Linked DNA regions of Schizosaccharomyces pombe. Changing the gene in region 2 together with the main gene of any one other region gives a genetic interaction. Each region holds a gene or a part of one and is shown on either strand. Other genes may lie near its edges.

The links.
Region 1: mutations in trs120 (region 2) and sec8 are lethal when combined (synthetic lethality), as found in Schizosaccharomyces pombe (one study listed by BioGRID).
Region 3: mutations in trs120 (region 2) and exo70 impair growth when combined (synthetic growth defect), as found in Schizosaccharomyces pombe (one study listed by BioGRID).

The regions. Positions count from the first base shown.
Region 1 is NC_003421.2:487,526-499,718, forward strand, and holds sec8 (exocyst complex subunit Exo4), read right to left. Parts: upstream 8,409-12,193; 5' UTR 8,402-8,408; coding exon 8,242-8,401; exon of another isoform or gene 8,198-8,241; coding exon 8,148-8,197; exon of another isoform or gene 8,088-8,147; coding exon 6,478-8,087; exon of another isoform or gene 6,461-6,477; intron 6,430-6,460; coding exon 6,255-6,429; intron 6,214-6,254; coding exon 6,075-6,213; intron 6,025-6,074; coding exon 5,583-6,024; exon of another isoform or gene 5,538-5,582; coding exon 5,307-5,537; exon of another isoform or gene 5,260-5,306; coding exon 4,845-5,259; 3' UTR 4,650-4,844; coding exon of another isoform or gene 2,697-4,649; 3' UTR 2,633-2,696; coding exon of another isoform or gene 2,543-2,632; 3' UTR 2,491-2,542; downstream 1-2,490. Other genes in the region: wtf antidote-like meiotic drive suppressor Wtf9, read left to right, coding at 1-193, 243-521, 567-758, 799-861, 912-994; histone H2B-K119 ubiquitin ligase complex (HULC) subunit, ubiquitin-protein ligase E3 Brl2, read left to right, coding at 2,543-2,632, 2,697-4,649; kcs1 (inositol polyphosphate kinase), read right to left, coding at 9,338-12,193.
Region 2 is NC_003424.3:3,219,554-3,229,995, reverse strand, and holds trs120 (TRAPP complex subunit Trs120), read left to right. Parts: upstream 1-3,718; 5' UTR 3,719-3,752; coding exon 3,753-3,918; exon of another isoform or gene 3,919-3,959; coding exon 3,960-7,148; exon of another isoform or gene 7,149-7,213; coding exon 7,214-7,491; 3' UTR 7,492-7,628; downstream 7,629-10,442. Other genes in the region: cbc1 (nuclear cap-binding complex large subunit), read right to left, coding at 1-1,163, 1,213-1,463; tda3 (FAD-dependent amino acid oxidase), read right to left, coding at 1,804-2,540, 2,613-2,954, 3,016-3,067; proteasome core particle subunit alpha 6 Pre5, read left to right, coding at 7,855-7,873, 7,917-8,047, 8,098-8,201, 8,376-8,940; cardiolipin-specific phospholipase Cld1, read left to right, coding at 9,758-10,442. UniProt on the Schizosaccharomyces pombe protein: Component of the TRAPP II complex. TRAPP II seems to play a role in intra-Golgi transport.
Region 3 is NC_003423.3:413,883-423,178, forward strand, and holds exo70 (exocyst complex subunit Exo70), read left to right. Parts: upstream 1-3,360; 5' UTR 3,361-3,436; coding exon 3,437-3,438; intron 3,439-3,488; coding exon 3,489-3,517; intron 3,518-3,577; coding exon 3,578-3,736; intron 3,737-3,782; coding exon 3,783-5,337; intron 5,338-5,390; coding exon 5,391-5,427; intron 5,428-5,528; coding exon 5,529-5,594; 3' UTR 5,595-5,985; downstream 5,986-9,296. Other genes in the region: rpl2501 (60S ribosomal protein uL23), read left to right, coding at 12-339; protein Ppr10, read left to right, coding at 1,229-2,776; G2/M B-type cyclin Cdc13, read left to right, coding at 7,241-8,689. UniProt on the Schizosaccharomyces pombe protein: Required for exocytosis.

The DNA.
Region 1 (12,193 bases), on a different chromosome or scaffold from region 2:
GGGACGACAGATAATTCTTCCCCTTTGTTGATAAAACTGCTAATATCATTCACTTCAATCATTCTATTCAATGCTCCAGCAGTTTGTTATCTAAAGTATAAGGACGCTTTTTTTAAAAATTATGGTGCAGTGGAATGGACATTATTTGGATTTTGGTGTTTTGTTTGCACTTTGGCTTTAATATTCTTGACTTGTAAGTGAGACAATGGGGTTATTCTTACCTTCAGTCACTAACTCATCAGACTTCTATGAAACTTGGACCAAGGCAGTTAAAGTAACTGTAATTTCCTTGGCACAATGTGTAAAAGTGACTGCAGTTTTCTTGGCAAAATGTGTAAAGGTAACTGCGGTCGGCTTGTACAACTCAAGGGAAAAATGGGTAGTAATAATTTGGCTATTATGGGTAGTCATTTGCTATACACTTTTTCTTCGCGCCAAATTCGGTAATTTGAACTTAGACAAGGCTCTCATCTGTTCTACATGCAGTATTTCAGCTGCTTTACTTTTATTTTTACTATATGGTATGTGAAGTTATGGAGTTACCATTACTGACCGCTAACACGCAGTTCGTCTTCCATTTTGGACACTCAAGCATATGTTTTCTGGTTTGTTTCAAGTACTGGGTGTACAAAGTTGTGTCGTTATTGTACAGAAAGGTTTGATGCATTTATTTGATAAACATATCGACGGGACAGGCTACGAAATTGAAGCCTCTTCACTCTTTGTTATAGGAAATTTTCTTTTCTTTTACGAAATGGGTTTGTTTAATATTCCTGTAATTTACTCTAACCGTATCAGAATGTCCAGGTGCTCTCAAAAGGATGCCCAAATTTATCAGGAATGGTATAGCTTCTTTCCTAGGTATGTGTATTCAACCAACTGTATGAATGATTTTTTACTTACCCGACTAGGAGGTATAGCAAATGCGATTGGAGGTGCCAACGATAATAATGACATTCCCTTGGAAGAAACGGAGGCCGAAAGCGAAGTCTAATTGCTTTATTAATGTAGTTGTCGCTACAGTTGGAAAACCTCTTTACCAAAATCACCAATGCAGAGAAGCTGCGGCGTTTTTTAAAAAATTAGCACCAACTTTCTTTAATCATCCTCTTTCACTATAAGTTTATGGAATATATGCTTAACTTATTCTTTCAATTACCAAAGATTTTCAACCAATGCATTCTACGATGTTGGATAATGTGCATTGAGGACCGAAGTCTTTATTTATAATGTATGCGAGTCTAATTATTTGTCTTTTTTAATGGTACTCTACGCTACAAACAATAATGGTTTAACTTGTTTACGACAACTTTAAATCAACTAATGAAATCGGAAAACTCGTTGTTCCACCTTGTTAAATTCACAATTTCATTGTCGTTGTTACATTCATTTCTCCTTCATCTTGATTCTTAATTTAATCAAGCTTAATAATCATTTTTCCCTTCTGTTTAATGGTTCAATTCAAACAAAATTTAATGTTTACAAAATAATGAGCAGCATAATAGAATATTGTGGTTTAGAACGATGGTTTGTTATCGTAATTACGTGTAAGCTACGCAGTTTGGTATCTGATTTAAGGATACGTAGAACTGCGGTGAGTTTTCCTTGTGATCTATTATATTACAATACACAGGTTGTATAAGTAGCAACTGAGTATAGGTATTGTATTAACTGGGTTATAATGTTACCTATCACTAGTATAGCTCATAACTGAACCTCGTTCCTCAGTTCAGTGGTAGCTCTATTTATAGTATTCAGATAATATAGATCTGAATAGATTATCATTAAGATTAATCTCCATATCGTATCATACATGGTACGATATATAATTAGAACATGTGACATATAGTGATACGCAACGTAGTGTATCACTATATGTCATATGTTGAAATACTAGTTAAGATCCGCTTGTTGATAATCACAGGTAACTATTCGTCTATGTACATAAATACCCGTTGATAACAGCCATTTATAAATAGCGTTACAACTGAACCTCGTTCCTCAGTTCAGTTATGAGCTATACTAGTGATAGGTAACATTATAACCCAGTTAATACAATACCTATACTCAGTTGCTACTTATACAACCTGTGTGTTGCAATATAATAGATCACAAGGAAAACTCACCGCAATTTTACATTTCGTTAAAGTGGATACCAGATGGATAGTTAACTCGAATTTCTTCAAATACGACAATTTTTCACTAAAGTAGTTTAGTGACTGAGTAAATAGATCGTAAACTCGTGTCTGCCCTCTACCACTTCACTTTTACCCATTTTATTGTATTGAATGGCAATTAACTTAATTCGCTTCGAATTGCATATTTTCAATACGGCAAGTTTCAACTAAGAAGGAGAATTTGAAATAGATCTGTAAAGACGCGTATCTATAACTTGCTTATTCATTACGCGTTATTACGTTTAGTATAAGAAAAATACAGTCTGTCTTTTAGGTTTTGGCTGTTTTCTTTTTTCGTTAAAAAACAAATTGTTCTGAAAAAAAGGAAATTTATATTGATAGGTTGATGTATACGACTTTCGAGAATGTATCAGAATGGTAAACCAGATGCCCCCACAATCTTAGGCCAGAAAAGAGAACTTGAAGATGTAGAAATACAAGATGATGATATTCAGGTATGTTAACGTGTTGAGCCTTTAGGCATTCGAATGTTAAGACATGTCGCTAACTCTGTTAAAGGAAGTCTCTAAAGAAGACTTATTAAAGGATGTAAGAGTGAGGAGCATTCAATTTGATGAGTTAGAAAGTAAAATAGAGGGACTTCAAAATTTAGCAGAAGAGAAATTAAAAGTTTTAGCTACTTTGGTCTCTTGGTGGCCTGAAATACTTCAGCAGTTTAGCGTTGTGTTTCAAGGCAATGAGCTGAAGGACTTCGAGAGTGAAGGTGTTTTTTCGATTTTGGAGAAATTCCCGGAGCTTTCATACTTCAATGACGCTGTGAAAAATAATAAAACTAAAGCCTTGAGCATCATTCAAAAACTCTTGTCTACTGTTGACTCAAGCACAAATTCGGTCTCCAGAGATCCTTTTTCAGTTTTATCAATTGATGACTCTGCCCTTACTGAGAAATTAAACACCATTAATTTGGATATTGACAAGATTTTAGATGAATTGGATACCACTCGGTCTCAGCTTCATTCAATTATAAAACTACCAGATCGCTCGTCTAGTTTTACTTTGCAATGCATTAATGAATCAGTGAGACCCCAGTCTACTAAAGTGAAAGAGGAAGCAACCACCTCCTCTAAGGGGAAAGATGAAGAAAAGAAAGTTAGCACGGTTGAACAACGTACTCAACTGCAACAATTATCCAGGCTTCAAGACCAACAAAATGGTTTAATGGAGTCTCGCTCACAAAGCCTTAAAATTTTGGATTCGAACGTTAATGAAATGGATAAATTAATTATGGAACGAGAAAACGCATTAAACAACGTCGAAACTACAAACTTGAAAAAATACTCTTCCTTTTTAGCACTTAAAGAAGCTGTTTCTATGACATCTGAGCAGTTACGCGTATTAGAGCACTTATTGTCCGAATGTTCTCACGAAATAAATGTATTGTCGCAACAGTCAAAGAATTTTAACGGTGTTTTTGAATCTTCCTATCAGCCGTTAATAAACGATCTTGATCATCAAATATCTGTTATGCAAAACGATGAAAAAAGAATTAATAACGCAAAGACTGAATTAAGCTTATCCCTTGAAAAGAAGTTGGAAGCTAAAAAGCAAAAAGAGAAGGTCTACAAAGACAAGTTAGATGAACTTGCGAATTTAGAGACAATGGTATTGGAAAAGAAAAAAGCGGTGGCTACCCGTGAAGCTGCAAACAAAATCCGGCTCGTAGACCTTAACGATTTGGAGTTACAAAAAGATCTGTCAACTTACCTTTCTAAAGAGTTGGCTTCTACTGAAAAAGCATTTAGGTTGGTAAAACAGCAAACTGTGAAAAGTAGCCACTCCCATTATCAAGAATTGATAACCAAATTTAGTGTCGAAAAGGAAAAGGCGGAGCAAAAATATTTTCTGACCATGAAGTCTACAGATAGTCTTCATGCTGAAGTAAAGTTACTGCGCCAGAAGTACCAGAAGACCAACGAAATTATCTCAAAAATGTTAAATAGCCAAGACACTGCTGTCCATAGAATAATAGAGTTTGAAGATCAGCTAGCCCGTCTATCATCGGTTCGAAATAACTCTATAAAACAATCAACAACGTTTCAAGTCAAAAAGTCATCTCAAAAATCAACTATTCAAAACCTGGAAGAAAAGGTGTCTTATTTACAGCAATTTATGGATAAAAATAATGCTACATTAACAGACCTTGAATTTCAATGCTCAGATTTATCATCTTCTATAGATATACTTTCCAAGCAAGATGAAGAGCATGAAAAAGAGAAGCGAAAGTTAAAGGATACTGGGGTATCAACGTCAGCTGAAGAGTTAAAAACTTTTAGGGCCATGTGTAAGTGTTCAGTTTGTAACTTCGAGCGCTGGAAAGATCGAATTATTTCTCTCTGTGGTCATGGCTTTTGTTACCAATGCATACAAAAACGGATTGAAACACGGCAACGCAGATGCCCGATTTGCGGTCGTGGATTTGGTGCTTCTGATGTTATTCCGATACATCTTTGAAGAATATGTTTTATTTGTGTAAATTATGTCTTTCAGGAAAACGCTGTATATATAACAAATCATTTTCCTTAATATAATCTTTGAAACTAGGTCACGTAGTTTTTAAACTATCCAATGCATCTATGTTTTTAGTTAATAAATTTATTATTATAAAATCATTACTCGTCATTATAATTAAAATTCTATATTATACGGTTAAGGATTTTTTCTCGCACCACCCACAGTGTTGTCGAACTGAGTTAAAACCGAGCCAATCTTTTTCTGATACTGCCGATAAAGATCGTCCCTTCCGTTTCTTTTTGCATCTTTCATTAATCGCTGGTAATAAATTCGGACCATCTGTTTAACGTCAGGCAAAAGTTCCTTTTTGGGGGCAGCAATGAAGTGCTCGATAATTTTCTTGGCACCATTTTGGTATATTCCAAAGACTCTAGAAGATTTAGGAAATTCAACGTCGCCATGAATTTCCTTAACCGTCTTAAGAATCTGAATCATTGCTGACATATTTTTCAGCATCTGAAGACAGCTGCCTCTATTCATTGATTCTATTTTGTAAAAGATAGAGTATAGCGATGAATCAACCAGTTCACTCAGACCTTGGAATACAAACCTATAAAAAGTTAGCAAATCAATATAAGGAATTCATTTGTTATTTACCTTCGTTCCCATTCATTCAAACAGGTTTCGAGTTTCAAATTCGTCGTCACAATAGTAGAGTTGAGAGCCATTATCGAAGCATCTGGTCTTCCGCGGTACTCGACAACATAGTCAGGAAGGTTTACACTTTGATTAATACTATGAATGTACTGTAACCGAACTTCCATTCGGATTAGCAGTAAAGCATCGAATTGGAGCCTCTGTAAAGAATCAAAGACTTCTTTATATGCACTTTTATAAAAATCAGTATAAAGTTCAATACATACAGTAACATACCCCTTCATTAAATCCGAATTATTACCCAACAAATTATCAATTGGTAAAAAGTCACCACCGAAATTAGCTTGGTTTTGTTGCAAAACGTTCATTCTTCGCGAACCGTTCATAAATCTTGAAAAACAGCGCTGAAGAAACCATTCCATGGAGTTATGAAGATAAGAAACCGAGTTCACTAGGTCGGAATCTTTGGATAAAACCGATACCGGAAGTTTAACTTCGGACGTAATCGCACGATCTTCATATTGTAATAAACGCTTATTCTCCATTCGACAAAGCTCATTTAACCCTTCAAGTGATGGATTTTTTTGCTTGAGGAATTTAATAAATTGAGGGTACGTTACATCGTCGTGAAGTAGCTTTACTCGAACAGTATCATCGACATCTTCAGTATCCTCGTTGACATGTTTGTATTCTTTGAGAACAGCCGTTCTGCACAAATCTATAAAGGGTAAGCTGGGGAAACAGTGAAAAAATGGAAATGAAACATACCAGAGAGATAATCAGAACAATGGTTGCGAAAACGAACAAGCAAAGTATGTAATAATTCATAAAATTCTACCAAATTTAATGCAACAATAGGCAAATAATCTTGAAGATCGTGAAAATATTGAACAATAGCCACATGGCACTAAAATTAACGTTAATCGTAGCTTCTTAATGAGACTATACCTTAAAAATTGGGATTTTAGAGTATATCTTCCAATCTCTGTGCAATTGGAACGCACCCACGTCTTTCATTATGGTGTCAAAGTGACTCGACATAAACTTGTATAATTGTGGAATGTAACTTCCCCTTAAAAATTCTTTCATAAAATTAACAGCAAACTGAGGAGGTATATTTGGGCTAAATTTTTGTTAGCAAAATAATCCAAACTCAACTTAATTGACGTACTTTTTCAAAATAGACACACTGTCTTCCAAAAAGAATACGGTTTGAGGTAGGACAGACGAAGCATGAAAAACCGAAGGCCCAACAAATACAACGTGGCCAGCCAAACGTACAATTTCTTTCGAACTTCCAGAAAATAGTTCAATAGTGGAAACTGAAGCATTTGATTTATTAAGAATAAGCTCTGGAGCCTTTTCGTTAACCAACTCATTTATTCTGGCATAAAACGCATTACTTTTGTTCTCCACAGCAATTTCGTTTGTTACGTCGAAAAGTTTATCTTCTTCATTTTCGCCAGGGAGGTTGTATATGGACATCTCAGTTCCAACAACGAAATTTCCACTATTTTCAATATACTCTTCTTTGGAAATAAGATAATCTTTTAACATTAACCTAATTTCGCTCTCGAATGCTTGCAGCAACGTATCAAATGGAAACGTGCTATCAGAAGTATCAAATTTTGATACCTTTGGGCTTGTGGGGTCCGAGTTAACAGACATAATGCTAGATTTGTGAGAAGATGAAGCATGCTTTGGTGTTTTAGTCTCTAATTTGGTCATGAATTCGGAGATACCGCGATAATGCATTAAAACACACCTTAATTTTGTAAATAAGTTCGTCAAGAACTCGGAAATCATAGTATGCTCTCTATCAGTCTCAGCGTGCAAACCTATATCATAAAGTGATTTTGAAAAGGGATTAACGGTAGAAACGTTATTACCGAGTGAATATTTGTTAACGATTGCACGTGAAGTAGAATCTACCGTAGTAAACATCTCCGCAGAAGTACGAGACTTTAAAGATGAAATAGCATTGGGGAGTTTTCCCAATAAATTCAATGACTCCAAAACAATACGTATATCACGTAAACTGTCTCTACCATAATCCATTTTTAAGCAATCCGACAACTTTAAAGAAAGCGCTTCTTCTAGGTAACGCAATTGCTCACTTTGGCCCAGAGTTGATGTATTTGCATTGTTTTTTAAAAAATCTCTCAAAAAATATGGGTTGGAAGTTTCCCTCAGCGGATTTGGAGAGCAGTACGATACTATGGGATAAGCGACAGCATCTTTAAGGAAAGTAATTGAAACCAACTCTTCAGATAGAATGTCCTCTAAATGTGACAAGAGTCCTGTCATCCGACTTTTAAACTGCTCCACTACTAATATTCCGTCAAAATCAGAACGACTTAATTCATCCCATACACGACGTATTAAATCGCTGGCATGATAATATTGCTTGCTATCAACAAGCGTATGAAAGTTGTCAAACAGCTGGTTGGCTTCATTAAGTTCCTTGAGCACACTTATGACTTTTTTGTATTGAGAACTACGAGCCAATGTTTGTTGAAGCTCTTTGCTATTAGTATTACCAATGCATTCTTGCGAAGCCTCAAGGGATTGCTTTAATGCTATGATTCTCGAATTGCACTTCTGAATTCCCTCCATTATTTCTCCATAAGCCGATATACCTCGAGTAAAGTCATCTTTATGAGTATGGGCAATCGTTTGTAATGCAGCACTAATTCGATCGTAAACGTTCAGAAAAGACTTATAATCTCTTCCAAAGCTACTGTCATCTAATAGTTCCAACGCTGTAGATATCGGTTGATACTTAACCATTCGTTAGTAAATTCAAACATCCTCCAATCTTCACTTATTCACGCAACATACGTCTTCTCTTCCCAGGTCTTTCCATTCATCCTCAATTTCATTTACTAAATCTAGCATAAAGGTTAAATCAAAACTCCCTGCTGCTTCACCTTACTTTCTAAATCGCCTATGTGCATTCCACGCGATGCATACTCTGAACTCAATTCATTGTCCATGCTAGTTCCATAATTTGAGTAGCCGTTAGGAGATTCCAAGCTTTTCTTTCCCACTGGATACCTTCCTTTTTTCGTTTCCGAATAGCCTCTGGTATCCATGGAAGTCAAATAGTCAGTAGTTTTAGCTTGATATGTCTATTGACTGTATTATCTTTGAAAGGAGAGCTAAGAAATCACTATATGAATTACGTGGACCAACGCACTGCTATTTATTACAGCGCACCTTGATTTAATACTTTATACTGACAAGGAGCATGCAAAAGAACTCTGTATGTGTTTCAGAGTTAATGGGGGTGATGGACTATTGTATAAGAAAAGAATGATAAGGGTGTAACTAAGCTACTACTACCACGAAATAATACTAATATAAACAGAAAAATCAAGCATCCAAGAAAAGGCAAATTAAGATACTTCGCAGAAAAGTACTTTGATAAATAACTATGCCATAATAAAAAAATAAGGTATGATGAGATGATTAAGAGAATAATAATATGAGCAATGCCAAAGACCAAAATAAAAGTCAGAATAAAGGGGTGCAGATGTAACAAAAAAACTAAAAAAGAAAGAACGGTTAAAAATGCGCAATCTCAATATGCATTTTCTCCATTACAAAAATCAACACATGACAATCTTAAAAGATAAGAAAGTAAAAGAGAGATTAAGGGCATTAGAAGGATACAAGTATTAAAACCAGTAATCCTTGTAACACAAACAACACAACAAATGGGGGCGGAAAAAAAATTTATAATCCAAGAAGATTCCAACTGTCATAGCTTCGTTACAATCACTGAATTAAGAAATTTAACGAAACAGAAAGATGAAAGACTAACGACTTCTTTATATAACGGATTGCCAATTTGAAGTAATATAAATAAATAGCGGGTCTCAAGCTTCCGAGCTCAATGAACAACTCAGTGCGCAAACTATCGATAAACACTTTTGCCAAGAAATATTCAACAAAGCGATGAATGTAAGTTCTAGAGTGCTTTGAAACTAAATGCATCAAGCAACATTTTAAAGCTACCATTTGAATTATTAGGTAGACGTCTCTCCGCAAGAGTCATCATCATTTGAATAACTCATCAATCCCCCAAGTTCATCGTAAGCATTAGAGAGACTGTCTTCATAGCCCCGTTCCGCAATTTGCATTCCCTTAGCTTCCTTCCATATTTTTAGAAAGTATAGCCTCAAAGTCCGTAAACCTCGTACGTATCCTCGATCATACGTGTCTTTGTGTTGAGGAGGACATGTAGCTTTTGCTAAAAGCTCTTTATCCTCAGCAAAAACACAATTGGCAAAATCAACAATCCGAATGTCAATTTCACGAGGCTTGACTTTTTCTTTGCTGGATTTGTCGCTTGGCGGCGGCTCCCCATCATATAAAAATAGTAATGAACTAGCATACAAGCGGGATCCTTTAAGAAACCTAACAATTTGCTCTAACTGCTCTAGCTTTCTAATTATCGTGGGAATATGATGCACCAAGAGATGGCTATTGTCTTCATCGTCATCCGTTTTCCCTAAGTAACGCATCAATGCGTGTTGAAATTCCTCTCCTGCTTTAATATCACGACCTACATACTTATCTTCAAATGTATATGATTGAAGCCAAGGATGCCAAACTTGCATTCCACATATTCGGACACCAAGAACTCGAGATGTAGTCATCGCACACTTTTTAGTTTGTGAGGCTTTCTTTTTCTCCGTAGCCATTATTCCGTATTGTCTAGTACCCATCTTGACATCCAACACACAAGGTCTTTTCATTCCACTCGTTAAGTCTTCAATCACAATATATCTCTCAATCTGGGTAGAATGTTGAGATTCCGAATTTTCCGCGAGGGCATTAGCATCATTATTATTATTGTTTTGATTATCGCTTGCTGGAATCCGGTGATCTTCATCGGCGGATGCCATGTGTGGAAGAGAGAGTACTCGCCTAGGATCATTTACGCTCCTGAATGGATCTCCAATTTCTGCTGGTTCTAGAGGTGGAGGTAACTCGCTGTTTTCTTCATTGTCCATAGCAAAAATAGAGTCATCGGGTACAGTTCCATGCGAGTTCGGTGTACTTCGTAGTTCCTTTATTGTATGTCCTGTTGACTCCCTTGAATCATAATCCTCCATTGTACCAGAAACCCGAGGAAACTCGTTAGATTCTGGTTCTTCCCAAACAGCATCTGATGAAAAGCGTCTATATGACTTACCTTGATTATTGGACGGTACGTTGAGGAGTTCCTCGTCGACTTCTTCATTTTCTTCGGCAACGGCGGAATGCAAGTCGTAATGTTTATCTTCAACGCTACAGGATAAGCTTTTGTTAGGATCTGCATCCTTATCACGAGCTCGGCTAGATGTGTTTCCATTATCCAATTGTCCAAAAGCAACCGAATTATCACGAAAAACAGAAGGTCGATGGGAACTCCTTGAATGGAAACGAGTTCCAAGTCGACGTCTTGCATGCTTGGGAGCAAAAACTTCTCGTAGAACTTCCTCTCGCAGTTTTCTGTTAATTAATGTGGTTCCCCATGGAGTTTTGGGCGGTATATCAGCCACGAAAGTAGGAGATACTGGCCGTTCTCCGGCTGAAGATGATTTATGGTGTAAAGATTTGGGGCTTCCATAAGAATGAGATCTTTTGTCGGGAAGCATCCATTCAGGAAAAATATGACGGTTTTGCTCAACACTAACCTCTGGAATGTATCCATAGTCTTTTTTCTGATAACAGCTGTTAAATGTGTGTTTATGGGGGGCAGGTGTTTTAGACGATGATTCTGTATTGACATATTCCGTAGTAGAATCGTTTTCTTCTGTTTTAGTAATAGTATGAGTCACATTTAAAACACCAATATACTTTGGGATAAAGGGAAGCAATTCTGGATGGCAAGCTTCAATAGTTTCATAAAACGTATTTTCATTTCTTGTAAGTGGTTTGCAAACGGCTCTTTTAGAAAACCGGAAGAAAGCCGTATGTCCACCGACTTGATGTTTGAAGGGTTCCAATCGTACAGTAACCGGATAATCAACATTCCAATGGAAAAAAGGATGGTCTTCAGGAGGAGATGATGAGACAGATGATACAGATGATCGCGGGGTGGATGCAGGACTTTGATAAGAACGGGATACCGACCTTTCAAGCTCAAACGAAGCATCAGGTAGTAAAGGGAGGTGTTGAGATGACTTTTTAGAAGGATTATGTGGTATGTAGGTGGCTGTGGTTTTAGAACTACCACTATCTTTTCTTCGTTTAGGAGCTGAGCTCCGACCACGAGATGATCTTCGACTTAGTGATGTATCTTTTTCGGAAATAACTTCATCTAAATCATGCTGAGCACCAACACTTGGTGATCCAGATTTGGAGAGCCTTTCAGAAACAGATTCAAGAGGACTCGACACGTTGTGCAAAGCAGTATTAGTACTGTTACCGGTTTCTAAGTTATTGGAGGTAGAAGACTCAAAGAGACGTAATGACCTGCTTGCCTTTCGAGACGGATGAGCAGAATGAGCACTTGCCATATCATCAGCTTCAGAAACGGCTGAAGACTGCAGCACCGGTACTGGTGATTCAGCAACTGAATAAGAGGAACCACCTAATTGCAAGTCAGCTAGACTCTTGTGAATTGAATCACTCATATATTCAACAGGGGTGTGTGTTCTCAAAGGGGTTTGTTCTTGTGAATTACTTCTTGTTAAAATTAAGCGAGGGACATCTTCCAAGCTCGTAGTTCGAGGGTCTACAGCAGATGAATAGTTACTTAGCCTTCTAGGCGATAAACTGTCTAATGACTTAGGACCTATGGATTCAGAATGCATAGTAAAATTATTGTTATCTTCTGATTCATCGTACAAGCATTTTAACGTTTCAGGACCTCGATCATGAAAATTCACGTC
Region 2 (10,442 bases):
GATGAAGATCGTCCAGCTCAACGTCAGGAATCCACTCATTCCACTTCCAGTGAAAGTTGAAATTACTAAGGTGATGTGAAAACCAGTCAATAAATCGATCAAGTGTTTGTAAAGGTAAATCAGAAGACATGGTATACATTAGCCGAATGACCCTTCCAAAAGTTGGAGCCAAAATTTTAGGAGCGATACGGCAGCATTCAATCAAAAGCGAATGATAATAGACAGGTTTATACGTAGTATTCTGTGAACCAAGAAGCTCACCCAAAACAGCTTCAACTATGATATCTTCTGCTTTCCAACGTGATTCCGATGGATCTAAATTTGGTAATTCATTTACTGGAGTACCACGAAGAGCAAAAGTTTTGTAGGTAAAATAAACATCTAAATCTGTAAGAACTTGAGCAGCCTCAACTCGGTTAAATTCCAAATGGTTTATAACATCCACACTTATATCACGAAATATGCTGGCTGCAACGTCGGAAGCGTCAGGAGTCGTGCGAATTTCAAAGTTATTAAAAAGCTCAAAAAATCTCTTGAAGGAAGGTAGCTCATTTTGCTGAGGAGTGGGCTGAAACGTCCATTCAGGAATACTTGGGCTAACCGGAACAATATGAACGAAATCAGATTCAAAAAACTTCCAGGGTTGAGATATATAAGGAAAAGTAAAGTCGTTTTCCCGAGATAGAATTAGTTGTTTATAGAGTAAGTCCAATTCCTCCTCTGAAAGATTGTCATGTATTGAAAGGGGATTACTTAGAGTTATCGAAGATTTCCTATGACGAACGTAAATCTCACATTGATCCAGTATCTCATTAGCAAAATCCTTTTTACCGAGATCGTTGTTAGCTGCGATGAAATATGGAAGGTTTATCAAAATTATGCGCAGGAAATTATCTCCCCAGACACTGGGTTTGGTTTCTTTTGAGATAGCGTCAGCCAGTAATGAAAATAGTGGCTTAAGGGTACCTGGTTGAAGTGCAAATGACATGCAAATGAGCATTCGTAGATCGACTTTAGCCTCGTAATAAAGAAAGGAGTTTAAATTCGTAAAATACTGTAAACAAAAATACGCAGCTGCTTTTTCTAAGATTAAAGGAACCCTTAATGAGGCTCTTATAATTAATGTAGCCAAATGAGGTATTTTGACTGGAATGATAAATGCACTAAGGATTAAATTAGTTTTCTGAAGGGACAGTATAAATTATCACTTACGTTGTCTGAATGCAATCTAAGATAGTTGAAATGGTTTCAGGATCATTAGCTTCACGACTAAGAGACATAGCAACATAATTAATGTCATCAGCAGCTACTGAATTTCCTCGAGGATCCGCCAAAAAGGTAATATCCTTTTTTATACGCGCTGCAAGTAGCTCTTGAGAGTTTCCTCTATGGGGACGAAATCCATAATTCTCTCCCTCTCTCGTCCTCTTTCTGGGTCGAGTTGATCCCCGATAAGAAGACATTTTGTGAGGAATGTTAGTGTCTTACTGTTGTTGGCGTATAGCAGAATTGTAAAAACACGAGCAAGTGTTCTCAAGTAACAATCAACTTAGAGGTAACGAATGGTATACTAAGTCGAGATGGAAATTGTAAAACAAAAAAAAAGAAAATCGATTTTCCAATGCGATAAAAACGAAAACCTTAATAAATATGATTAGAAAATTTTACAACACTGTAATATTCTATTTCGGTAAAGGAATAAGCATCCATTCTGCTTCTATATTTTCACCTTTCAGTGAATGAGTCCTTCGTTTTTTTTGACAAACAATTAAAACAAAAATTAGAGGATATAATTTGAAATCCTCATTCACCGAGATTTAAGTGAAAAGGATCTGTGTTTATGCTTGTTTTTTCCTTGCCAAGGAGCATTTCTGCCATACATAAACCCGTGGCAGGAGCTTGAGTTATCCCCCAGTTGGCGTGACCCGCTGCAACAAATACACCAGACTTGGTTGTTGATATTATCGGGATACCTGTTATTCTACTGGTAGGAAGGAACTTAAAAGATGCGTCTAAGTAGTTACTCTTCGTATTCTCCGAGAGCACCAAATCGGTCATTTCTTTCAATTCGATAATTTCAAAAGGATTAAAAAAACATCGATTACTATCTTTTGGCAGCAAATGGAATTTTGGAGTTCCCATAAAAATAAGCTGCTCCCGGTTTTTACTGAAAATTTCGGTTGTTTTGCAAATGTTTAGATTACCCATGGTATTTAAACAACACACAACAATGCTGTCGCCAACGGGAAAATTTCCTACCGATAGGTGAATTATGGGAATGCATAGACCTGCAATACCAGTAAATGGTAATAGATAACCAGTCCAAGGCCCAGCACTCACCAGCGTTTTATGCACCTGTGCTTTTATTATTGTATCTTCAGCTTCTTGTTTTGGAACGTATGTAATATGGTGTTTACTAACCTCTTTCACACTTCCAAATATAAACTTTACTCCTCGTTTTTCTATTTCTTTTGCCATAAATTGACAAAACAATTTTGGATTGATCATTGCAAAATCGTTGCCGGAACCGATACTAGAACCTAAATGGTTAGTCTCTATATGACTTATACAATAAAGTTATTATTTTTTTTTGGTAGCACTTATGAGCTTACATTTTTGCATGCGCTCTCGTTGAAGCCATTGCAAAGTATCGGGAACTTTGGCAACATTGGTATTGTCCCATTTCATCTTACAAAACCAAGAATTGGCAGTCCTATATTCCCAGTTTTTCTTCCCATCAAATTTTTTATCCAATCCTTCATAAAGCTTCAAAGCGAGAGTTGAAAGTGGCTGTATGATTTCATTCTGGCACAGTTTTGTCAAGATTGCAGAATCAATGCCGGAGCTACCTCCTGCTATTTCTTTTGATTCAAATATAAATATGTCCAATTCTCCTTTTTTGTATTCTTGTTCTTCTGTTAAGTAAAACGCCGTACAAATTCCAATAATGCCACCTAAAAATCATCGTCAGCATGCTCACTCATCATTTATGAAACTGTTGTTCTCCAAAATTACCTCCTACTATTCCTATCTTTGTCTTATTTCCTTCTCTACTTGTAGCGCTCATATTTGAAGTTGGAAAGTTGACTTGAAACACAATCATCTTGCTGTAACGCTTCTAAACATTACGTTATCCTCACCAGTATTTCCTTCAATCTCTCTTATTTTTTTACCATTTTGAGAATAAAATAAATAGCAATAATAATAATAACAAAACGGTTCAATATTCAACAGTTTTTGCCATTCAGAATGCCTTTCATAAATTGCTATGGCGAGATATACGATTCTTTCATGAATACCAAACGATTGTAAAAAAGGAAAAAAATTACAAAATACTCCTCCTAATCTATAAAGTCAAGTTCGCATAAACAAACGGATTTTTAAATTTTTGAAATGCCAGATTCACATTCTTCAGATAGTTTACATATTATTTACACATGCCTTAATTAAAATTACTGCAACCAGTTCATTGAGTTGTAATTATATTTTGATTCCAAATAATCTACTGAAAACAGCTGTACAGCTGTATATGCAGAATGGTATTTCCAAAGCATAACAAATATTAGACATTTCACAACAATGATAATTGTTAAGCGATATCATCTTGAAAAGTTTATTTTACCGACTTATGATCGACAATCAACAGAAATATGCAAAATAAATTAGTGATGGTATGGATGTAATCCGTTAAATGGTATTCAAGCACTTTGTTCTCAGTACGTGCTCCAAAACATTACATTGCTGGAGATGCTATGGAATTTGATTTTTTTTCGTTTGTTGCTCCTTCCAGAGTTCAATCATTAGTCCTTCCTTTTGGTCGTGTTAGAAGAAAAAGTTTCTCGTCCTACCTACAATTACTCCGCAGAGTAAGTCATATTCAGTTGAGTGATGTCCCTGTAGCTACTGCTACTAGAAAATGTATGTTTCTTATTTTTATGATTATTGACTAATCTTAATAGCGAGTTCTTTCAATCCTTTGGCTTTTCCGTTGGGCAGATTGGTGTACAATTTCCTAACCAGCCTTGATGATCAACAAGCTCTACTAGAAGAATTTGAATATTTTCGGCGCGTTTTCGTTCTTATTGGTATTGTAGATGGGTCAGAGGAACAAGAAGTTGAGCAATTATGTTCTACCTTGGATGTTTGGCGGAGAAGGATACCTCATGCGTTAGTTGCAAAATGCATCGTATTTAATTGTCCAGAAGACAAAGAGAATATATTTAATGCTCCCAATATCATAATAGGACCAAGGTCTGATTTTTCAATAAACTCCGTAATGCGGTCTATTTTATGCGATATCACTGCTGAGTTGTTAGAAGGATTTAGTTCGCTCGAGTTTTCTATACACGCGCGTTCCGTGATCCTTTCTCCAATTACTGACATGCCACATTTGGCTCCCTTGCAAAGGAAAAATTCTAATGCGTCGATTCACTCCTTAGGCTCATCTTCTCGTCCTACTTTGACGAGAACTCCCTCGATCACATCAAGATCTGTGAATAGTGTAACGGAACGATCCAAAAGTCTCTCAAAGGGGCGTATTGAGAACCAATTTGGCCAGCTATACTTGCTGGCCGGCAGAGTTCCCAATGCGTTGAAGCATTTCTCAACAGCCATAGCGCTTTCTAAAGCAACTGGAGACTTTCTTTGGCAAGGACTTTCGTTGGAGTTATTTACTGTTTGTCTGGTTATAATGGCTCATTTGCATGTGGACGTCCAGATTCCTCCTAATATATTATCCATGTTCCCTTCTTATAATGATAGATTGAATGCCTTTGGACCACTCAAATTTGATGCACTATTAAACTTTATCACAGAAATGCGCAACGTAGTTGATCAATTATATCAAAAATCCACTCTTCAACCTAATGATGCTGTCCCCGGCCTCTGTTTTTCCGAGAGTATCCTACGGTATGCTCATTTACTCACAGTTGTTTATAGTTGTAAAGGATTTAACGACAACGCTTTGGATCATATTATTGCTCAAGCCCCCATAAGACCTGTTAAAAAAGCTACAACGTATGTACCAAATAAAGCAACTATTTGTCAATGGATTATGAGAGCCCAAGGACAGCATCTTAACTCTCTTTCAATTCGTGAACGTTGTCGCATATACGGGGCTATGGCAAATATGCTTGGAAGTATAGGATTTTCTCGGTTAAGGGTCAAGATGTTGCGTGAGTTGGTTGCGAGTTTAACACCTGTACTATTAGAAACGCGTAGGCAAAATGCTTCAAAAAATGGAATACATCCGGAGGTTATTGCTTCGCATACCGCACAATCCTTTAAAAGCACTCATTACTGTAACATCTTACCTTTGATATCTGAAATATGTCAAGAATATGGCCTATTGAAAACTGATGGTAGTCTTCTAAATCCAGAATTAACAAAATGGGGTTGGTCAAATTTACAATTTGATGTTCTTAATGAGCTTATATCCCTTTGTGATTCTCTATCTGACTATCGCAGTATTCTTCTTTTAATTTCTTTGTTTTTTCTCACTTCTGTTCAAACTGCTTCTTCTTCCCAACAAATCTCTATGTTTAAAGCTTTTAGAAAAACGTACCTATTTGCTAGCAATGCTGGTATACACATTAACGCTCCATACTGGGACCCATTTATGATAACGGATTTAAAGTTCATTGGTTCGTCCGAGAATGCCGAATTAATTCATCAACGGTTAAGAAACGGGTTACCAAAATCAATTGAAAAAGGACCATTCATCTATAATCCATTTAATAGAAGACAGGACCAAAACCAATCGAAATCAGTCCTCGTTGTCGATGAACAAGTTGCGTTTTCGATCTATTTTCGTAACCCTCTTAGTGTATCAGTTGAAGTGCAAGATGTTCATTTAGAAACGAAAGGGGTTTCTGCAAAATGTTCACATTCTACTTTTACGATGCGGCCACTATCTATAGAGCGTACTACACTTACTGTAACTCCTACGGAAACCGGAGAATTACATATTGTTGGTTGTCGTGTAAAAGTCTTTGGCTGTGAGCCAATTCTGCAGTATGTTTACGAAGCAAAGGATAAACACAAGTCATTGCACGTTTACCTTGAGAAAAGTAAAGACGTCAATGCTGAACTTCGTTCCTTGGATACCATCGACCATTTATGGACTTACTTTCCGTTTAAAAAGGACTTGAAAACTAAGTCATTTGATTGTATAGTTATAGCTAGCCAGCCGAAATTATCGCTTGCTTTTCAAAACCTAACATCTGGAAAGTTTAACTTTGCTGAATACGAAACGGGTGAATTGGTGTATGTAATTGAAAATACGTCTTTTGTTGAGGCATCTCACATATCTGTTCTTTTTGAGGACAGTTCATCCAAAGCTTTTGAGCAAGCTATAGCGGATAAAAGTATCACAGCAGATCGATTATATGAACTCCAATTTGAAGAATTTAACCTCCCAACATTTACTGTCGAGAGTAGCCAACCGTTTTCACTTTCACCAGGTGAGCGCAGGGAAATTCATATTAAAATCCGGGCAAAGCCAAATTCTCAAGAAGGATTGATATTATTTGAAAGTAGTGTGCATAAGCCTGAAGACACAGAATTTTATGTTAGACGTCTAAGAATCCCGGTTTCTTTAAACATAAGTAAAAGAGTGGATTTGAAACAATGGTCTGCGTTTATGGATACTGAAGGAGATCCCAGCTACTGCTTGGTGCTATTAAACTTTTATAATCATTTCTCTGAGCCTTTATTTGTCACGGTTAAAACAGCAAGTACCGATGAGTCCCGATCAGTTTTAATCAAACCAAAAGCTGATAATGTCATATTATTCCGTTTAAAAAGATTTATTATGTCCTCTGAGGAAATCAATCTTGATATTCCAAACTTATCTACAAAGCAATTCGTACTATCTAGCGGATTTAAAAAAAGTATCGAGGATAGCTATACTATGAAAAAGCGTTTTTGGATTAAGGAGTATTTTCTAAAAGAAGTTCAAGCTTCTTGGAAAACCGACGATAATCTTCACCATGGAGAGATTTACTTGAGAAATCATATTTTGTCTGACGAAATGGCAAATAATCTATCTATTCTACCAATTAGGATTCAGGCTTGGGTTAGCTATGATTCTGAAAAAGTCACCACGGTTTGTCCGCGAGAACCATTCAAACTTGTTCTTGAATTTTTCGGTATGCAATTATTGATACTTCATATTCCTTCCTATGTCTTTTAATTTTACTAATTTCTATAACAGGTCATGCCGATACCAATATGCGTTATAAAATATCGTGGACTCAATTAAATACTCAAGCTAACACTTCTTCCTTCAACGGACTAATTTTAGATGGCCCAGAAGAGGACATTGTATGCTTTAACAATTCCAAATGTCATGTCGTGATCGAGCGCAACATGTTTGCATATACAACAGGGATGTACAATATATTTGTTCGTATTTTTAACGAAGAACTACAATTGCTATCGCAGCCTGTTGACTTGGATGAGCCCATACTACTAATTGTTGATGCGAAGTAACTCATGTCATTAATGTTCGTCTATATTACTCTTTTTCTTCCATGTCTTGAAATCTAATAGTTTTGATCCGAAAATAAATAAATTTTACATATTTTACTCTTAACCATGCTATTCAGTAAGCGCTTGGAAGAGTGTCCACGTTCAGAGGTATCAGGTCGTATTTATAGTTTCATGCGTACAAACGTGAAAATTATATAAAATTGCAACTTAATAATTTAGCATCAAAAGAATCCAAGGTATGCTTGCTTTGTAATTATTATAAGTGGAATACGTTCTGCCCCCACTTAGTACCTTTTATTTCTAATATTTAGCGCAGGGCTACGAGATTATTAGAAACATTAGCTGAACGTGACCAGAACCAATATGTTTAGAAATCAATATGGTAAGTAAAATAGAAGAAATTGGTCTGCTAACTTTATAATTAGATGGAGATGCGACTACGTGGAGCCCTCAAGGAAGACTCCATCAAGTAGAATACGCATTAGAAGCTATTAAACAAGGATCAGCTACGGTTGGACTCGTTTCCAAAACACATGCTGTTCTAGTCGCTTTAAAGGTATCCACAATTTTATTTTACTAGGGCCTCCATTAACTTTCAAAATGTAGAGAAACGCAGAGGAACTTAGCAGCTACCAAAAGAAGTTGATTCGCATTGATGACCATATTGGTATTGCTATAGCTGGTTTGGCTCCTGACGCCAGAGTTTTGAGGTAAGGCATTTAATGGATGTAAGACAGTCATGCAAAAACCGTAATCTCTATGTGTGTTTGCTTTGGTTTTTGAAATTGCTATCGGTGGGAATACTTTTTTTGAGAGTATTACTAGGCATAATGATTTTGTATATTACAATTTACGTTTGTTATAATGGAATATTAACGCAACAGTAACTATATGAAGCAAGAAGCTTTATCGTCTAAGACTTTGTTTACTCGACCTATTCCTGTCCGTCGTCTAATGAGCAAGGTTGCTGAAAAGGCTCAAATTAATACTCAGGAGTACGGAAGGAGACCTTATGGTGTTGGGTTTTTAGTAATTGGGTACGATGAAAGTGGTCCACATTTACTCGAGTTTCAACCTTCTGGCCTTGTTCTAGAATATTTGGGTACTAGTATGGGTTCACGATCCCAGTCTGCTCGTACTTACATAGAGCGAAATTTGGATACATTTCCGGATTCTAGCAGAGAAGAACTTATCCTCTCAGCACTTAGAGCTTTACGTGATACTCTTTCAAAAGACCAAGAACTGACCGAAGAAAACGTTTCTATATCCGTCATTGGAAAAGATGAAAAATATACTCTTTACGATCAAAATGACACAAAAGAATGGCTTGATAAATTAGGCGACAAAGGTCCCGCGGCTGCTCGTGCTTCTAGGGCTGCCGCCGAAGAACCTCAAGCGCCTACTGCGGAGGCTATACTTGACTCTGCTGATGCCATGGAAACTGATTAATTGCCATGATTCAAATGATACCTTTCTTAAGTACATATGTCATAGAATTCCGAAAAGATGATTATCCTTTATAGGGATTTTTCTTAGCTATCCTTTTTATTCCTTCGACAATTACGATTTCTGGCATGTCATTTCCAAGCTATTAAGTTGCTGGATAGAAATCTAGGAAATTTAATGAAAAATAAATGTTAACTTTGTGCATAGGAATGTATTATTTTATGTAATTTGCTAAGTAATTAGATGAATGGTGCTATACTTGATACGTTACTTATTATATTTATATGAATTAAAAATAATAATTATTAGATGTTCATAACAATGACCAATGTCAATAGTGTTGTCAATAACAATGCCGGAAACAAATTTTAATATTCTGCTGCACTGAAGTATTTATTGCATAAAGGGACTTTATCATATTTGAACAATTGCTGTATTAAGTATTGAACTAAAACCTCAATTGTCTTTCTATGAAATTTTCATGAAAACTTGCTTCATCATTTGTTCGCCTTTTTTTAATTCAGCCAAAATGTTACGAAGATTAACGAAAAAAAGTCAGAGAATGTGCTGCTTTTCCGCTGCTTGTTACAATGCCATTGCTTTGTCAGATCAAAACCTTCGTATCTTGCTTACATAAACTTACCCACAGCACAACACTTTGAATTCCAATTGCCGAGCCAATATCCGGAATTTTATTTAAATATCGGAATTATTTTGTTTTAAATAGTTCATAAACAGTAATTTGTTTGTATTGTCATTATCGCGGGGTTGACTCCTTCATTGACCATTTTGTGTTGAATTCAGCGTTTGCACCGTTACTATGAGCCAAGTGAAAGTCGCGGTGAGAAGTGAGGAAGCAGCTAATTCTTATACGCAAACGTTTGGCATGTCCTGGAGGCAATGGCGTCAAGCATGCTCTGAAGAATATGCGAAACAATGTGAGCGTGAAGTCCTGCACACTGTCGATTTTATTCGGGAAAATGAAAAGGACCCAGAAAGGTTAGTTGAAGTTGTAGATTCCAAAATCTACGATAATGATGGATTGGTACATGAGGTTTGTGTTAGTGATAAAGCAACAGGAAAAGCGAACAAGCGAAGCATTGTTTACATGCATGGGTATGGAGCTGGTCTTGGTTTTTACTTTCGGAACATGGATGGTTTGACTAAGGGTGTGACAAAGGATTTTAATTCTTATTTTGTTGATTGGCTAGGCATGGGAAACTCGTCAAGACCGCCTTTCGATATCAAGGGGCAAACCGCTTCAGAGAAGGTCGAAGAAACAGAGAGGTTTTTCACTGAGTCATTAGAAACATGGAGAATCGGTCATGGTATCGAGAAAATGATCCTTGTGGGCCATAGTATGGGAGGTTATTTGTCTGCTGTCTACGCCATGCAATATCCGGAACGTGTTGAGAAACTCTTACTAGTTAGTCCAGTTGCCATTCCTGAAAACCCTTTTGCAAGCAACGATGATGCGGAAGTTTACAATTCCGTTGCTTCCTCTG
Region 3 (9,296 bases), on a different chromosome or scaffold from region 2:
TATCTTTATAGCCCCAAAACTCTTCAGCTTTCTCGCAAGCCCAAGTATGCTCGCAAGAGTGTTGCTCATGCTCCTCGTCTCGATGAGTACAAAATCATCGTCAATCCCATTAATAGCGAGTCCGCTATGAAGAAGATTGAAGATGACAACACTCTTGTCTTCCATGTCCATCTTAAAGCCAACAAGTTCACCATTAAGGAGGCTGTTCGTAAGCTTTACAGCGTTGAACCCGTCAAGATCAACACTTTGATTCGTCCTAACGGTACCAAGAAGGCTTTCGTTAAGTTGTCTGCTGATGCTGATGCTCTTGATGTTGCTAACCGCATTGGTTTCCTTTAAACAATGTACCTATAGTCAAGCATTTAGGGACGAAATAAAATCTTGGTTTTTATATTACTATACATTCATGCTGTACTTTAGTTAAAATCATACTTTATTTTGTAGCTTTTTGGTTGCAGTTGATTACAGTGAGAGTAGCGTGAATGAAGGCTATTGTTGGTGGCACCTTTCATTTGATTGAAATTATAACGTTAAATGGTTGTTGGGTGGATGTAACAAAAAGAAAGTCACTTCATTATGCTAATAATAAAAATAAAATGCAAAGGAGTTTTCATCTACTGATTTCATTGAGACTTATGTAATTTCCTCGTTTGTGTTTTCATTGAGTAAATCATAACATAATGATCAAGTAGAAGATGCATAAACGAGTTTACTTAGTTATCTAACGTATTCTCAAACAAAAAATCTTTTCTCTTAAGAAAGATAATGGACCCTTTGAAGTGTTGTTACTAAAGCATGTACTTTCAAGTGAACCATATTCACATTTTGCAACGTCAGCAAAAGCTGTAATTAGAACAGTTACAAGTTTAACTCTTCATTCTTCAACCATTTTAACATATGCAAGTATTGAATAAAGCGAAAAAACTAGTGTTTATGTTTCCAAACAAAGTAACATGCTACTTTATGAACCATCGGCTTGTAGGCAGCTTCTTTAAAAGAATCCCTGGTACTCAATCTGAGCATATTCCTAGAAGAAGGAAAAAAGACACTGCTCTTAGACCGTTTATCATTTGGACGAGAATTAATTAATGAAGAGGGTTCCTAAGAGGTTCTCAGTTGTTTTTTGATTGATTTTCTGGTTATCAAGCTGTTGTCGTGCAGTTTTTTCGCGCTTGCGGGTTCAAAAGTCGCATTTATTATTAATTGAAAACATTTTTTGAGCAAAGAGATGTTTCTTAGACCATGGAGCCGAAATTTCCTTTGTAGTTGTAGAGGATTTTCTGTTTGCACTCCTTACGCGAGTATTAAAAGCGCATCTGAACTGGCGCTGAAGAACATAAGTGAACTACAAGCGCTTCAGAAAATACAAAATCATACGGAAAAATTAAAATTTTTTTCGTCCAAATTGCACAATAAAGGAGAACCTTTTACTTTACAACTTGGTGATTTAATTACGGAACATACAAGTGTCCCAGAGCTCAATGAAATTTTGGATAAATTCAGTCAATCTAATGAGTTATTCACTATGCGATTTCTTGAAAAAGCTAGTATCATTGCTCATAAAAACCGTTCTGCTGAATTGGCCCGAAGGTTGCGTACATATGCAGCTAATGCCATGATTGATTTAAGTCGTGTTGCTTTTGTTAACATCTTTTGGACCCTTTTGAAAACTAGAGACAAGGAAGGTATTGTTGAAACTATAGAAGGTCAGCCAATAGCATTTAAAGTCGCCCGTCGAATCTTTCGCAGGTTGCTGGTCTATACATCGGAAGCGGGTGAAAACATTGAAATTTGCTTCTTCCTCACAAACTCTTTATTTAAACGACTTCTTAATAACCGTGAAGCCCTTTCCAAAGATGAAAAGAGTGAACTCCAAAACCTCTATTATGATTTATTGTTATGTTTTTCTTACTCATATTATGTTCCAGGAGTTAAGCTTCTATTGCCTATGTTATATAACGGAAGCTTTAAAGAAATTAATCGCACAGCCATAGACAGGTCTTTGTTGGCTTTATTGTCAACCGGTGAATTGGAAGCTGCTCTTGAACTTCTAGTATACCTCAAGAATAATAATATCCCGATTAATGACGCCTATCTTCGGATGATGGTGATCAACTTTTGTTTGGCTAATAAGCCGACATTAGCGGTACGCTTTTGCCAAGCTTGGTTTAAACAAAGTAAAATGCTTTCTTCCACAGAAAATTTACTGCTTATTGCTGAGTCTCTTTCACGTGCTTCGAACGATTTTGCCGCCATTAGCAAGCAGATGCAACCATTTTCAATTGAATCATCTTCATTTTATCTACCTAGCCACAGACTATTAATGCTTGTCGCTTTGATGATGAAAAATTCTTCAGGGATATTACATTCGTATGCGGTACTCAAAAAAGCTAATGCTATAACAAACAAAGAACTAAGAATAATGATGCAACATGCAATGGACCTCCGATCAACTGAATTCGCTGAAGCAGTTTTGAAGGAGTCCGAGTTTACTTTGCAATCCAATCGCTCACAATTATTAATGGACTTTGTTGCTATTTTATTTTTAAATAAGGAATACACCAAAGCTTTCGCCACGCTTGAAAAAACCTTCGCATCTAAGATTAAACCAAGTCATAATATTATATCTTTCTCGTTATCTCTAGTCAAACGCTTTGGTACTAAAAATGACCTTTTTTTTCTGCGTCGCTCTTTTAAGAACATGGGCATAGAAACTCTGGATGAGATAGAAAAAAATCTGCCCCCTAAAGTCGTTTATAGATGCTTTAACTATTAAGTGACTTACTCTTCTCATCACATCAACGCTGAATCCATGCATGCTATAATTATCACCCTTTGTTTATGATACCTTAATATTAAAAACTTGAAAATTTAACTTTAATTCAGCTTTCACACTACCGTCTGCTTTATTTCTATTACCGTTTAATTTTCGAGGTCTCTCTTTTCCAATGCGCTGTGCGCAATTACTGATCTAAGTTAGACACAGACGAATTTATTTCTTTTTGAGCTGTTGTTACGTTTAATACTCTCTTTTAATATCCCCTCTTATGTTGGCCATCATATTGTAGCTGTTCAGCTATTTAATGAGAAGTTGAACTGAAACAAAAAATTATGATAATTTTTCTAAATCAAATTCAATATTTTTTATTTATACATGCAAATCTATTCTCGTATTGCTTGTTTCACATCGCTAATAGCCCACTACGATGTGTAAGAAAAGGAAACCAATAATTACACTGAACCTTTTTTAAAAAATATGATCAATTTTCCATTCAAACATATGTAGTTTTCAAAAACGTTCATTACATGAGTCAGAAAAATATCTGGTTGACCCTAACATTCTTTCGGATTGTACACCTTACAACTGCACATGCATTTCACCACACATAATATACGATTTTCATAAATCGCATCCTTCGTAAAAATTATATGCAAAATGTATCTTACATTAAACTTAAAGAATTAAAAAATTGAGCTAACTGGTATAGGAGTGGTGGTATTTTTGATGATAATAAAGGTATTTACCATGTTTATAAATTCAAAAGTTAAAGCTCGATCACTAATTAAATCGTTACAGCTGGGTTTGAAACGTTTCAAAAGAATCTCAATTCGGTCGCAAAGAATGTATCTGATGCCTCTAACATCCTATTGTCCATGGACAAACGATTGAGCGGCCTCGAGGCGTCTGCTGGAATCTTAAGAGATGATGTGACGAACTACAATCGCGTTTCTAGCAGTATGTATTGTTGTAATTTTATTTGTTAATTACTAATTTGTTTAAGACATCTACGACACGTTAAAGGAAATGGAGAGCCTTCAAGTTATCCATTCACACCTTCCTGTGCTGCAAAAGGGGTTGCAAGAATGCCAAAATTTAAATAAATCAGTATCTCAAAATTTAAAATCTGTCATGGACATTCTAAAATCTTTAGCGGAAGATTATACGAGTTTAGAAGGAAGTCCACTTCAATTTGCCTCAAAATCGCAGCAAAAAGTTGAGATGATGCTATCAGAAGGATGCCAGATTTTAGGTGCATTGTGTTATAATATACTTGAAACTTATGCTGCATCCTCCCTTAACAAAGCATCTACACTTTTGGATTTATCCATCCCGTGGAGTTTTCCCAATGAATCTCTTCAGCAATTTATAGGTTTAATTCAGCAATTCGATGCTGATGTTCTGTTCCCAGTTTCTTGCTCTTCAGATATCTCTAATATATACATCAAGATAAAGGGCGAATGTGTTGTCAAGTTACTTCATGCCGTCTCTATGAGGACAGATGAAATTAAGCTCAACGAGGGATCAGTTAACTTCGTGACTGGAAAAGAAGATGTTTCGATCAATTTAGTTGCTTTATCTAGACTATTACCAGCCGTTGCCTCGGAATTGCTACTCTTGTTTGATCAAGTTACTGCTAAGGCACTTTATCCCAAAATCGTTAAGCCTGCCATAAACACTGTCACCAATGCCACCAGACAGCTTGAGGGAGTTTATGAAAAAAGAGGTGCTGCAGAAAATTTTGTTTTGTTGTCTTTAATTGATTGTATCGTTGTTACACGCCAAAACATGAATAATCTTATGCCTTTTGAAGATGCTTCTTTCCTTGGTTTTGTGAATGGTGTTGGTCGTGAAATGGAAAAGATATTGATTTCTTCTATATCGAGGCTGTATAATGGCACTTGCCATAACAACAAAACAGTCCCTCTCACAACTGATAGAGTCAGTGAAATGACTCATGGTATTATGAGTTTCTTGAATGAACTTGCTGAGCATGAAAATGCCTCTTATTTGCTTGAAAGTATTGGTAATTGGGGCTGGAGACACGAAATTAATGCTGATCTCAGTCCTGCGCGCTCAGTTCAAGACATTACGAGGAACTATGTTATGGATTGTATGGATTCCTACCTAACTTCTGTTCAAACAGCTGCCCAGGCAGTGGATACGATTGGATGGAAAATGGGCGTAATGCTTTTAAACATCAGCGTCTATTTTGAAGCAAAATGTCTTGAGTCAAAAATTGCATCATTTTTACAAGACGTTGATTTAGAAAAGCTAGGAGATCGATCACAAAAGTACTCAACCATGTATATGGAAGTTTGGCGACAGTGTTCTCAAAATATGCTCGATTCTACCTATACAAAATCTCAAAACAAATCCACTATGTCTGCTAAAGAACGAGAGATTACAAAGGAAAAATTCCGAAACTTCAACGAACAAGTTACATCTGTTGTTCAAGTGCATCGTGAATCTGTTAGGTTTGAAACTGGTGTTGCCACTTTTCTATTGCAAGAAGTTAAGAAAACTGTACTACCTTTATATCAAAGGTTCTATGATAAGTATGAAGATCAATTAAAAACTGTTAGTTCCACTATAGCTAACCTCTGTTTAGATACATCAACAGTGATTTTACAAAAAATAAAGACAAGGTATGTGTATTGAGGATTTGTCGATATTCATTTGCTAGTTTATCGATGTGTATATACATTTAAGTTGTTATCGTTTTTCATTTTGCTTACTCATTACGTAGTATATCAAATTTACAAAGGCTGATTTAGATTCTTTTATTACAAGCGCGTTTGCTCCTTCCCTATGATTCAATATGATGAATTTGGGTCCTTTGAAATTCCATAATATAGTACTAAAGTGGGTGTACTGGCATTCTCACTTTTCTTTGAAGCATTTGACTGATGTAAATAAAGACGGACCATATCTCAAATTCAAAAATTTGACTTCTATTTTACATTATTAAATCGTTCCATATAATTTTTTTAATTATTAACTCCCCTTTTTTGATGACTTTGTTGTTTACCCTGCTCAGATTCTGCTTACGAGTAAGCTACCCACTAAATATTGTAATTATTAAAGAAAACTTGAAGAACTAATTTTTAATTGCATTTCCCAAGCAATCATGTTTCGATTATATACGTTCTTTACTTTATATAATGTGCCCAGCATAATTTCATAGACAATAACATTATTACCTCTTTTTTACAATAGTGAGGTAGCTCATATACATTAAATTGTGGTTCCATATCTCCGTTTTCTTATTTTTACGAAACTCGTGTTTGTTTTTGTTTAATATTTATATTATTGTTTACATTGAAAATTACCATATTATTTGATGTTTGTATTTGTTTCCCAGCTTGCCAACGTTGCGTTACCCCGACAACCCCATAGTGTTTACGCCCTCTACGATACTCCTTTCAGTCGACTCCACTACCACGAGCTGTCCTTAACCAGCATCTTGACGAGTTTTTACCCTTAAACGACATTCCTGCTCATAGAAATATAAGCAAGAACAGGACTTTTCCCCTATTAGTCACTGTCTAGAGCTAGAGGCGAGAAAAGAAGCGGAACCTGGTCGGTTAAGCAAAGCTTGTTCTTTCGTCTTGTCTTCTTGCTTGTAACAAGAGCTTAATCAGATTGTAAGTAATGTTAAAGGCTGGGAATACAGTTTTGGTTGTGTAAGAACATTTTCATACAATACGACCTTCTGAAGATGTGAAAATTTCTTCCCAATCAATAGTCACCCTTTTTCCTCGACTTCACCTAGTTCAGCGAAAACATGAAATCCTCTTTAAGTCTAACTTCATTTCTTTTTATTTTTTTATTTTTTTAAAATTTATGAAGGGATTAAGGGGTGGGTGCTGTAAAACATGGGGGTTTAAATTTAAATAACTACCCATTTTATTTTCCTATCAAAGTTTCTTTTTTTCATAGGATAATCCTTTATTGTGCCATTTTGTTTTTTCATTAGATTTACTAACGTCATTTAAAGTCAACATTTACCCTTCTTTTCTTGTTCTGGTGTTAATATAGGAAAATCGTACATCGATTCTACATATAGCTTCATTTCAAAGTTCAGTTTCGTGTTCTACGTTTCCTATATCCATTGTTGGACTTCATCGCAATCCCCTTACTTTATTGAAAAAAAGAAGTCTCAAAAGCTCTTGCCAAATTCTAGATTCGGTCAAAGGCTATTATTTTCTCCTTTATACGTACGAGAAACATACATTTTTGCTTGGATTTTATCCTTAAAATTTTTGTATAAACTTTCAAGTATAACTCATTCTATTTTATCTTCTCCGTCCCGTACTACCCCTTCACGTTTTTAGACACTTTAAAAAGGTTGTTCGTTCAAAACCTCTTTTTTATCATTTCTGTTACCTGAACCAATTAATATTTTAATTTCCCTTCCTCTCTTTCAATCCCCGACAGAATTCGTTTCTTCTTTTCCTCATGACTACCCGTCGTTTAACTCGCCAGCACCTATTGGCAAATACCTTGGGCAACAATGACGAAAATCATCCTTCAAACCATATTGCCCGTGCAAAAAGCTCTTTGCACTCTTCAGAAAATTCTTTAGTAAATGGCAAGAAAGCCACTGTGTCTTCCACCAACGTTCCTAAGAAGCGTCATGCGTTGGATGATGTTTCCAATTTTCACAACAAAGAAGGTGTTCCATTAGCTAGTAAAAACACAAATGTCAGACACACTACTGCTTCTGTCAGTACCCGTCGTGCTCTCGAGGAAAAGTCTATAATCCCTGCAACAGATGATGAACCCGCTTCCAAGAAGCGTCGCCAACCTTCTGTTTTTAATTCATCAGTCCCCTCGTTACCTCAACACTTGTCAACGAAATCACACTCTGTTTCAACCCATGGGGTTGATGCTTTCCATAAGGATCAAGCAACTATTCCAAAAAAATTAAAGAAAGATGTTGATGAACGCGTTGTTTCGAAAGATATTCCCAAACTTCACCGTGATAGTGTTGAGAGTCCCGAATCTCAAGATTGGGATGACTTGGATGCAGAAGATTGGGCTGACCCTCTTATGGTTTCTGAATATGTCGTTGATATTTTTGAATATTTGAATGAGTTGGAAATTGAAACTATGCCCTCTCCTACTTATATGGATCGTCAAAAAGAGCTTGCATGGAAGATGCGTGGAATACTTACCGATTGGTTAATTGAAGTGCATTCTCGTTTCCGACTGCTTCCTGAAACATTGTTTTTGGCCGTAAATATTATTGATAGATTTTTATCATTGCGGGTATGCTCTCTTAACAAACTACAATTGGTTGGCATTGCTGCCTTGTTCATCGCTAGCAAGTATGAGGAGGTGATGTGCCCTTCAGTCCAAAACTTTGTATATATGGCGGATGGTGGGTATGATGAAGAGGAAATTCTTCAAGCCGAGCGCTACATTTTGCGTGTCCTAGAGTTTAATCTTGCTTACCCGAATCCTATGAATTTCCTACGTCGTATCTCAAAAGCCGACTTTTACGATATTCAAACAAGAACTGTTGCAAAGTATCTTGTTGAAATTGGTCTTTTAGATCATAAACTTTTACCTTATCCCCCTTCCCAACAGTGTGCTGCCGCTATGTACCTTGCCAGGGAAATGCTTGGACGTGGACCGTGGAATCGTAATCTTGTGCATTACTCAGGTTATGAGGAGTACCAATTAATTTCCGTTGTTAAGAAGATGATTAATTATTTACAAAAGCCTGTTCAACATGAAGCTTTTTTCAAGAAGTATGCCTCCAAAAAGTTTATGAAAGCTAGTCTTTTTGTTCGTGACTGGATCAAGAAGAATTCTATCCCTCTTGGCGATGACGCTGATGAAGATTATACTTTTCACAAGCAAAAACGTATACAACATGACATGAAAGATGAAGAATGGTAATTTAGTGTATTGTGCATATCACTATCTCAACCTCTTTCAATTGTGAATATTCCAACTTGTTCAAGCGCTCTTTATATGTGTATTAGTTTATCACTAATAGCAACCGTAATGTCCTGTAAACGAGTCGCCGATAATTCCTAATGCTTTTGTTTTTGTTTTGTTCTATTATTATATGCTCGGGTACTTGAAGATTGCCAGATGCATAGTACATGCTGGTGTCATTATGAAACCAAAATCATTTGGAGAAGTGTAATTATGGATGCCTTTAAATTATCCCACCTTTAAGTCTTAGATTTGATTATCTGTCGCATATGTGTTTTGATCTATGTGGCTAGTAACGTTATAACAATTGTGTTTCTGCTAATGATGCTGCTTTAAACAACTACGAGTATTGTGCTATTATTTCTTTTTTACAATTAGGACCTTACGATAACAAAATAGTACTATATTTTCTGGATGTTGAGCTACTTGCCGATTGGGAATCCCATATCCTACACCATGAGTCGGAGTAATATTAATAATAATAATGATAATGATAGTTCCTTGAGGTGAATACTACTTTATTATGTTCATAGCTTGCAGAACGTATATTGCTCATAATAAAAAT